Arabidopsis thaliana: one gene and its partner. The protein of the gene in region 1 interacts with the protein of each later gene in a pairwise test. Each region holds a gene or a part of one and is shown on either strand. Other genes may lie near its edges. The genes, in order: AT1G16260 and SUC2.

Region 1 (5,414 bases):
AAGGAACCATGGAAAGCACTTGGTTGTCATTGATATCTTCTGTTGTCTTTTTACAAACAAGTAAGTTCACGTTGTTATATGATCATTTCTTTTACAGAAGTGTCGTTTGGCTTATGTACAAAAATAAGATAGACTGAAATTTAGCATATCTTTTTTTTTTCATGCTTGCATGGAAACTCCAATTATAGCCATAAACTTAGCTGTGTGTTAGTTTGCAGTTGATTATGGTTGCGTATTTTCCAATAAGGGTTTCTGACACTCTTTAAATTATTTTCCAATAATATTCATGGAATCAGTGTGTTCCTTCTCTGAGTAAGACCTTGGTCCCACTGTGAAAGTGGAAGCTTTTGCTGTAATACTCACTGCACAGACATCTGGACACTTGAGGCTAACTGGAAACCGTGAGGGTGAAAACAGTTGTTTTAAAGGGAAGTAGTTACCGAAGAAGTCAACCTATAATGCATTTATCTTCCAGGTAAAGGCTTCCACTTTTATGTGAATGAGTTCAGTTTGTCATCCTATGATATGATTACTGCAAGAAGGTTACCGGCCGTGGTCAGGCCATTACTGTCACTCATATTTGGAATTAAACTTGTACATAATAAGATTCATGTTATATCTCAGTGTATTTGAGTGTTAGTGATTGTTATGTGTTCATTTGACCTACACCAAGGTGTATCATGTGTATAGACCAAACACTTGAATGATAAATTAAGAGTGATACAAATAGTTTGCTTCTTTTTTAGTCTCGTTTTTGTCCTTGATTTGCTACATATAATTAAAGTCTTATAAATTTCGTATAGAGGAACTATTAGATGAAATTACGGAGTACAATCACACGAGCAATAAGACTTTCAAGTTTGATTGGATATCATTCTATATTGAAGTATTATATATTGGAAGGTGAAGAGTATTACTTTTCCAGTCACTGTGTCTTGTGAGGCATTAGTGGTTTTGTGTCCAATGAGAATGAGCTGTTTTCAACGACTATGTTCGGAGAAGAGTAACTAAGTGACATAGACTCCGGCATTGCGATCTGGATGTGTGCATGCTCTTCACCATTCTGTGCTTGGCTTTGAGTACCTTTTCTCTTAGATTGCATCCTATCTAGTTCAATAAATACGTCTCTCATGGTAGGGCGATGTTCTGAGTTCAAGCTCAAACACCTTCTTGCAAGTTTGGCTACTGCAAGGACCTCTTCTCGATCACATTCCTCCTTGATGCGAGCATCGAGAATTTCATGAAGTCTGTCATTTCTCATGGCTTCGAGGAAGTAAGCACCCAACATTCGGACTTCTTGCCGTCTCAGAAGGGAGACAGGTTTCTCTCCGGTTAAGAGCTCAATGAGCAAAACCCCAAAGCTGTAGACGTCACTCTTCCCTGTGAAGTGGTTTGACTGAAGGTACTCTGGGTCTACATATCCAATTGTTCCTTGTACAATTGTTGTCAAGTGAGTATCATCTATAGCAACAGATCTCGAGATTCCAAAATCTGACACTTTTGCACGGTGCTTTTCATCCAATAAGATATTTGTTGACTTGACATCTCTGTGATAAATGGGGATAGAGACGGCTGAATGCAGGTAGGAGAGGGCATCGGCGACTTCACAGGCGATGCAGAGACGGACTTCCCAACTCATTGGGAAATCCTCTGATGGGTTGTGAAGATGATCGAAAAGGTTACGGTTAGGAATGAACTCATACACCAATATAGGTACTTCTGTCTCAAGACAACATCCTAAGATCTTGACAACATTTCGGTGGTTAATCTGTGACAAAAGGATGATCTCATTGATGAATTCCTCAAGATTCTCTTCTTTCAATGCTTTGGACTTCTTGACAGCGACGATCATCCCATCTTCCAACATTCCTTTATAAACTGTACCCTGCCCGCCTTGCCCCAGTATTCTGCTCGCATTGAATCTATCTGTTGCATTCTCCAGGTCATTGGAGCTGAAAACTTTGGTTCTATTTACACTTCCGTGAAGGAAGGATGTTTGTTGCTGCAACAACAAACCTCCATTTCTTTGGAAGAACTTCCTCTTCTGCTTGGCTACTTTCCGCTTTCTATTAGCCTTGCATAGCAACCACATACCAAAGATCAGGAGCAACAATCCAGAGCTTAGAGTTCCACCTGCATTGTAAGTTGATCTTTTCACTTTCAATCTAAAAAGGCTTATGCAGAAACATTATATAACTTACTTAAAATGGCTGGCCAAGTTTTCTCACATCTATATGATCCGAGAACATTCACACACTTTCTCTTTCCACATTTATTTAGATGTGGATCTCTGCATTCATCAATGTCTACGGACACAAAAATTCCAAACTTCACATAAGGTTATATAGTACACTCAAGCCCTCTATTCAAAGAAGTTAATAGGTACCTTGGCATCCGCCAGGTATGTAGGGATTTCCTTCGTAACCATTGTGACACGAACATTGATAGCTATCTTCGAAAAATGTATTGCCTTTGCATAGTACACGCTTTGAAGTCATGTAGGAAAGATCAAGACGCCATTCTAGCTCTATTGTTGTATATTCACTGTACTCCATTAATTCGGGAGGAGTAAACAAGGACCCTGACAATGTGAATTGAGTCAAGAAGGCAACCTGACATCCTTGTTTATTTGGTTCCAGTTTCTCTACGGTTGCATCAAACACTTGAAGTTGAAGAAGAGGTGGTATAGTCATCTGGCAGCATTTGTAACCAACACAACTCGTGTTAGCTCCTTTGTAAGACCGTATCTCATTTCCACATGTCGTCTCACATCCCACGATTTGTAACCCTGTGACATTCATGAACGCCTTGTTGTTGCATCCAACAGCTGTGAACTTATTGTTTTCTGATATGAAGAATGGGCTGCCCTTCAAATTCAAAGACGATGATGAATAACCATCTCTGTTGGGACAACCTGAATGTTTCAATGGACTCTGGATGTAGAATTTGTTGTACACCGATATGGAGAAAGGGTCTCCAAGGTTGAAGGAAGTAACTGCTCGTCGGATCCTTGGCAACAAAAGTATCGGTTGTTGGTCTGATGAGCTTTTGCAGACAATCTCGAACCATTTGTTCTTGTAACAACCTTTGCCTATCCCAAAAGGGTAAGGAACACTAACATTTCCGCAATGGTCACTGCAATTACGAAGTGCAAGAGGAAAAGTAGAAGCAGCTGCGTATTCACAGATTCGCAACAGAAGCATAACAACAAGGAAACGTTTCACATCAACACCCATTTGCTCTCTCTCTCTCTCTCTTTCTTTCAGGAGCCAGAAGTTCTGTTCAGGCTCAGGCACACCTCTCTCTCTCTCTCTCTTTCTCTAACACAGATAAGTCAAGAGTCAACCTTTTCACTTTTATATTAATTTTGCATGATACATCAACGAAGACCTTGACCCATATGAATTGAGGCCATAACATATTTCAGTAGTGGGCTCCGTAGATACAGCAGAAACCACGAAAAAAGAGGATAATGTTTGTAATTAAATGTTTTAAGATATTCTTTATCAAAACAAAACGAAAAATGCCAAAGATATTCATGTTGAGCCTCTTCAAACGAAACACAAGAGTTTTTAGTTTTTACTGTGAGACGAAGTTTTTCATTAAGCAGAACGTTTTAAAATGGATATGCCGGTACTTGAGATTTTTTTCATTAAAATATAGATCACTATTTGGGTGACAATTAATGAAACAAAGGAGCCCATAGTCATGGTCCTTTAATTTCAAAATGGGCCCAAAATTAGTCATGGTCCTTTTATCCTTTAATTTAAAAATGGGCCTAAAATTCGATATCGAACCAAAATAAACATTGGGATGGTTACATTTACTTGTAGCGGTCGACAAAAAAAAAAAAAAAACATTTACTTGTAGCGGCCAAAAATCCCACAGCATATTGAAATGAAATTTCCGAAACTGAATTCAATGCAAATTGAAATGGAATCAGATTAATGGAATTCAGAAAATGACAATTCGTGTGGGGGAAAAAAAAAACATTACGTAAGGAAATATAAAGAGAGAAACTTTATAACGAAAATGAGATTGAAAGTATCCATACGCACGTTCTTCTAATTTCCATTAAATTTCATTTAGGATCTGATGATATTGAGAGTCCCATTTAATGCAAACCGTATAACATAAGCTACGGAGAGAGACTTGTTGATTCCATGCTTCTCACTTACTCCTTCACCCCCAAAATCTTATTCTTCTTTCATCTCCGCCGTCTATTTTTCATCAACATCGATAGATGTACGGTTCTCGTTTCTTCTGGTTATAAAGCAACCGAGTCGCACGGACACGAACCATTTTGTATTTTTCTTTCCATTACAATACAAAAAAAAAGAAGCAATTTGGTCATTTTTATCATTTCTTTAAGCAGATTTTACCATTTTTTGAGTAAGCAACGAGGAAACCTAGAGAAGGTGAGAGAAAATCAACAAAAATAAAGATAAAAATAAAAAGTTAGGGTTTTGATGCATATTCTTAGATTTGAACAAAGAGAAGAAGATAGTTTTTGATTGTTACTAGCTCTCACAATCCTTCTTGAATCTATTCCACCTGTCAAGCTCTACATTTTTTCTTTGTGGTATTGTTCTATCAGTTTTGGATTCTTTGCCATTTTCTGATTCTTTATTTTTTTGGTGTCTGAAGCTAATTTTAGCGATTTGGTATGGTGAAATCTTTCAAATCGAGCGAAGGTTTTGTTTTTCTTAAATTACTTCTATTGAGGTTTTTGGATTAATTGATTTAAGGTTGTTGTAGAGAAAGTTTCCATTTTTGGAACAAAAAGCATGTTTTTGGAGTTTTCTGGTCGGATTATTCATCTACAATTGCAAATGGGAAGAACTTTGATGAGTAGTCTGTGTTTAATTGATAGTTTCTGGAGGATTCAACTTCTGCCAAAACTTAATTATTTCTCCCAATTGTTTTTTTTTGCAGCTTAAATATTTGGGAGGGGAAATTTGTAGCCTACAATCTCTGAAGCAATTTGGCATCTTTAAAGTTTTAGCAGTGATTCTTTATAGTTCAGTATGTCAGATTCTTGTTACAGGTCTTGTCAGTTAGAATAATTTGAAGGACTGTTGTTGTTGTTGTTGTTGTTGTTGTTGTGATGGATAGAAACAGACCACCACATCCGTTCCAGCAACATGCTATGGAACCTGGATATGTGAATGACTCTGTCCCACAAGGATTTACGCCTGATCAAACGGGTCTCTCGAATGCAAATGTCCGACCTAATCCTGCAGATGTTAAGCCGGGGCTTCATTACTCCATACAAACAGGAGAGGAATTTTCTCTTGAGTTTCTGCGTGATCGTGTCATTTCTCAAAGGTCTGCAAATCCCATTGCAGCTGGAGATATCAATTATCCCACAGGTTATAACGGGCACGCAGGGTCTGAATTTGGTTCAGATGTTT
Region 2 (5,023 bases), 2.5 Mb from region 1:
GGGAGACATTTACCAGATTTCGGTAAATTGGTATTCCCCCTTTTATGTGATTGGTCATTGATCATTGTTAGTGGCCAGACATTTGAACTCCCGTTTTTTTGTCTATAAGAATTCGGAAACATATAGTATCCTTTGAAAACGGAGAAACAAATAACAATGTGGACAAACTAGATATAATTTCAACACAAGACTATGGGAATGATTTTACCCACTAATTATAATCCGATCACAAGGTTTCAACGAACTAGTTTTCCAGATATCAACCAAATTTACTTTGGAATTAAACTAACTTAAAACTAATTGGTTGTTCGTAAATGGTGCTTTTTTTTTTTGCGGATGTTAGTAAAGGGTTTTATGTATTTTATATTATTAGTTATCTGTTTTCAGTGTTATGTTGTCTCATCCATAAAGTTTATATGTTTTTTCTTTGCTCTATAACTTATATATATATATGAGTTTACAGTTATATTTATACATTTCAGATACTTGATCGGCATTTTTTTTGGTAAAAAATATATGCATGAAAAACTCAAGTGTTTCTTTTTTAAGGAATTTTTAAATGGTGATTATATGAATATAATCATATGTATATCCGTATATATATGTAGCCAGATAGTTAATTATTTGGGGGATATTTGAATTATTAATGTTATAATATTCTTTCTTTTGACTCGTCTGGTTAAATTAAAGAACAAAAAAAACACATACTTTTACTGTTTTAAAAGGTTAAATTAACATAATTTATTGATTACAAGTGTCAAGTCCATGACATTGCATGTAGGTTCGAGACTTCAGAGATAACGGAAGAGATCGATAATTGTGATCGTAACATCCAGATATGTATGTTTAATTTTCATTTAGATGTGGATCAGAGAAGATAAGTCAAACTGTCTTCATAATTTAAGACAACCTCTTTTAATATTTTCCCAAAACATGTTTTATGTAACTACTTTGCTTATGTGATTGCCTGAGGATACTATTATTCTCTGTCTTTATTCTCTTCACACCACATTTAAATAGTTTAAGAGCATAGAAATTAATTATTTTCAAAAAGGTGATTATATGCATGCAAAATAGCACACCATTTATGTTTATATTTTCAAATTATTTAATACATTTCAATATTTCATAAGTGTGATTTTTTTTTTTTTTGTCAATTTCATAAGTGTGATTTGTCATTTGTATTAAACAATTGTATCGCGCAGTACAAATAAACAGTGGGAGAGGTGAAAATGCAGTTATAAAACTGTCCAATAATTTACTAACACATTTAAATATCTAAAAAGAGTGTTTCAAAAAAAATTCTTTTGAAATAAGAAAAGTGATAGATATTTTTACGCTTTCGTCTGAAAATAAAACAATAATAGTTTATTAGAAAAATGTTATCACCGAAAATTATTCTAGTGCCACTCGCTCGGATCGAAATTCGAAAGTTATATTCTTTCTCTTTACCTAATATAAAAATCACAAGAAAAATCAATCCGAATATATCTATCAACATAGTATATGCCCTTACATATTGTTTCTGACTTTTCTCTATCCGAATTTCTCGCTTCATGGTTTTTTTTTAACATATTCTCATTTAATTTTCATTACTATTATATAACTAAAAGATGGAAATAAAATAAAGTGTCTTTGAGAATCGAACGTCCATATCAGTAAGATAGTTTGTGTGAAGGTAAAATCTAAAAGATTTAAGTTCCAAAAACAGAAAATAATATATTACGCTAAAAAAGAAGAAAATAATTAAATACAAAACAGAAAAAAATAATATACGACAGACACGTGTCACGAAGATACCCTACGCTATAGACACAGCTCTGTTTTCTCTTTTCTATGCCTCAAGGCTCTCTTAACTTCACTGTCTCCTCTTCGGATAATCCTATCCTTCTCTTCCTATAAATACCTCTCCACTCTTCCTCTTCCTCCACCACTACAACCACCGCAACAACCACCAAAAACCCTCTCAAAGAAATTTCTTTTTTTTCTTACTTTCTTGGTTTGTCAAATATGGTCAGCCATCCAATGGAGAAAGCTGCAAATGGTGCGTCTGCGTTGGAAACGCAGACGGGTGAGTTAGATCAGCCGGAACGGCTTCGTAAGATCATATCGGTGTCTTCCATTGCCGCCGGTGTACAGTTCGGTTGGGCTTTACAGTTATCTCTGTTGACTCCTTACGTGCAGCTACTCGGAATCCCACATAAATGGGCTTCTCTGATTTGGCTCTGTGGTCCAATCTCCGGTATGCTTGTTCAGCCTATCGTCGGTTACCACAGTGACCGTTGCACCTCAAGATTCGGCCGTCGTCGTCCCTTCATCGTCGCTGGAGCTGGTTTAGTCACCGTTGCTGTTTTCCTTATCGGTTACGCTGCCGATATAGGTCACAGCATGGGCGATCAGCTTGACAAACCGCCGAAAACGCGAGCCATAGCGATATTCGCTCTCGGGTTTTGGATTCTTGACGTGGCTAACAACACCTTACAAGGACCCTGCAGAGCTTTCTTGGCTGATTTATCAGCAGGGAACGCTAAGAAAACGCGAACCGCAAACGCGTTTTTCTCGTTTTTCATGGCGGTTGGAAACGTTTTGGGTTACGCTGCGGGATCTTACAGAAATCTCTACAAAGTTGTGCCTTTCACGATGACTGAGTCATGCGATCTCTACTGCGCAAACCTCAAAACGTGTTTTTTCCTATCCATAACGCTTCTCCTCATAGTCACTTTCGTATCTCTCTGTTACGTGAAGGAGAAGCCATGGACGCCAGAGCCAACAGCCGATGGAAAAGCCTCCAACGTTCCGTTTTTCGGAGAAATCTTCGGAGCTTTCAAGGAACTAAAAAGACCCATGTGGATGCTTCTTATAGTCACTGCACTAAACTGGATCGCTTGGTTCCCTTTCCTTCTCTTCGACACTGATTGGATGGGCCGTGAGGTGTACGGAGGAAACTCAGACGCAACCGCAACCGCAGCCTCTAAGAAGCTTTACAACGACGGAGTCAGAGCTGGTGCTTTGGGGCTTATGCTTAACGCTATTGTTCTTGGTTTCATGTCTCTTGGTGTTGAATGGATTGGTCGGAAATTGGGAGGAGCTAAAAGGCTTTGGGGTATTGTTAACTTCATCCTCGCCATTTGCTTGGCCATGACGGTTGTGGTTACGAAACAAGCTGAGAATCACCGACGAGATCACGGCGGCGCTAAAACAGGTCCACCTGGTAACGTCACAGCTGGTGCTTTAACTCTCTTCGCCATCCTCGGTATCCCCCAAGCCGTAAGTATCTCTCTCTCTGTTTTTTTTTTTGTTTATCCATTGGCTAATTATTTTAGTACTATATCTGATTTGTCGTTTATAATAAGGAAAGAAGTAAATCAATAACCTAATTTGATGAATTTTTTTTCATTTTTATTAACTGCAGATTACGTTTAGCATTCCTTTTGCACTAGCTTCCATATTTTCAACCAATTCCGGTGCCGGCCAAGGTAAATATTCTATTTTTGAGCTTTTTATTTAATCTAAAATTACCCTTTTTGTTTTGGATAATCAAAGTCGACAATCTTCTTAAAGTGTTGGGACCTAAAAAAGCTAAAAGCATTTAATACGTGCAGATTCGTAATTTAATAACTTATTGAGAAGATTCTATAAGTAACCAATATTTATATATTCGTTTGAGTGACCATATATACGCGATATACCAAATTTACAATTTCTATAGCCTACGAAAATTTGTAATCTTGATTCCTAAAGCTTTTTATCTTTTCTTCCACAGGACTTTCCCTAGGTGTTCTGAATCTAGCCATTGTCGTCCCTCAGGTAAAAACCCGTTTAAAATCAGTTTTACTTATTTTCATTTAGGAAAAATTATGACTAATATATATATTTGGTTTCTTGGTTAAATATAGATGGTAATATCTGTGGGAGGTGGACCATTCGACGAACTATTCGGTGGTGGAAACATTCCAGCATTTGTGTTAGGAGCGATTGCGGCAGCGGTAAGTGGTGTATTGGCGTTGACGGTGTTGCCTTCACCGCCTCCGGATGCTCCTGCCTTCAAAGCTACTATGGGATTTCATTGAATTTTAGCAGTGGTTGTTTGGCTCTCTTTCTCTCATAAAACAGTAGTGTTGTGCAAATCCTACATAAAGAAAAAAGAAAAGGAAATTAAACTCATTGGGTTGGTTTGTATTTTACCTAAACCCACGAAGTTCCTTTTTCTTTTTGTAACTCAATTTAAATTTGGAGTATATTTTACTTTTTGTTACCTTCAAGGCTTCAATATTACGACTTCATTGTTCGGTAATAAATACCTCATAAGCTACAAAAGATTATGTAACGATTTAACACAATTATTTTTTTAACAAACAAAAACAACGATCTAAACAGTTCATATTAACTGATTTGATAACTTATTTCACAAAAAAAGTATATGCGAAATACTTACAAAATATCTTTACATTTGATTGTACATATAAAACCAAAACAAGTTTTAAGATGAATGTGGCTAGATACAAAAATTAACGGTGAAATAAGAGCATTCTCGATTTATATGTTTTGTTTTTATCTATTTTAGTTAATTCTTTAATCAAGTTGTTTCACATTTGTTTAACCTGATTTTCCCGTTTCCAATGGATAAACTCGGATTATGAAAGTAACTTGATGTACATGTTTGGTAAGCTTATTGGTCAAAGTATGACAAGCCTTTTCCCCTAAGTATGATAAGTTTTGGGAAATTTTCAGAAAGCACACTCTTTTAAGTTTTAGTTTTTAGATGTATATAACATAACTAATAACATGTATCAAAAGAAGTTTGGAAGAGTTTCTTAATTATTTGTTAAGGTTCTTCCTATATATATATATTCTGAAAAATTCATAAATCTTCCCTAATTAAATAAAAAAGATCCATTAGATAAAACCAAAATGAAATAATATGTAGATTTAAACCGGAAGGTACTAAACCGGAAATTGGAAGAGGCAACGTGGGCCTTATCTTCTTCTTCTTCTTCCTGCTAGATTTTATTCTTTTATCTCT

The links.
Region 2: the proteins of AT1G16260 (region 1) and SUC2 interact in a protein complementation assay, tested with the Arabidopsis thaliana proteins (one large-scale study listed by BioGRID).

The regions. Positions count from the first base shown.
Region 1 is NC_003070.9:5,558,783-5,564,196, forward strand, and holds AT1G16260 (Wall-associated kinase family protein), read right to left. Parts: upstream 3,411-5,414; 5' UTR 3,237-3,410; coding exon 2,387-3,236; intron 2,307-2,386; coding exon 2,202-2,306; intron 2,134-2,201; coding exon 926-2,133; 3' UTR 716-925; downstream 1-715. Other genes in the region: AT1G16270 (kinase superfamily with octicosapeptide/Phox/Bem1p domain-containing protein), read left to right, coding at 5,108-5,414.
Region 2 is NC_003070.9:8,029,958-8,034,980, reverse strand, and holds SUC2 (sucrose-proton symporter 2), read left to right. Parts: upstream 1-1,824; 5' UTR 1,825-2,010; coding exon 2,011-3,267; intron 3,268-3,412; coding exon 3,413-3,476; intron 3,477-3,763; coding exon 3,764-3,807; intron 3,808-3,896; coding exon 3,897-4,070; 3' UTR 4,071-4,394; downstream 4,395-5,023. UniProt on the Arabidopsis thaliana protein: Responsible for the transport of sucrose into the cell, with the concomitant uptake of protons (symport system).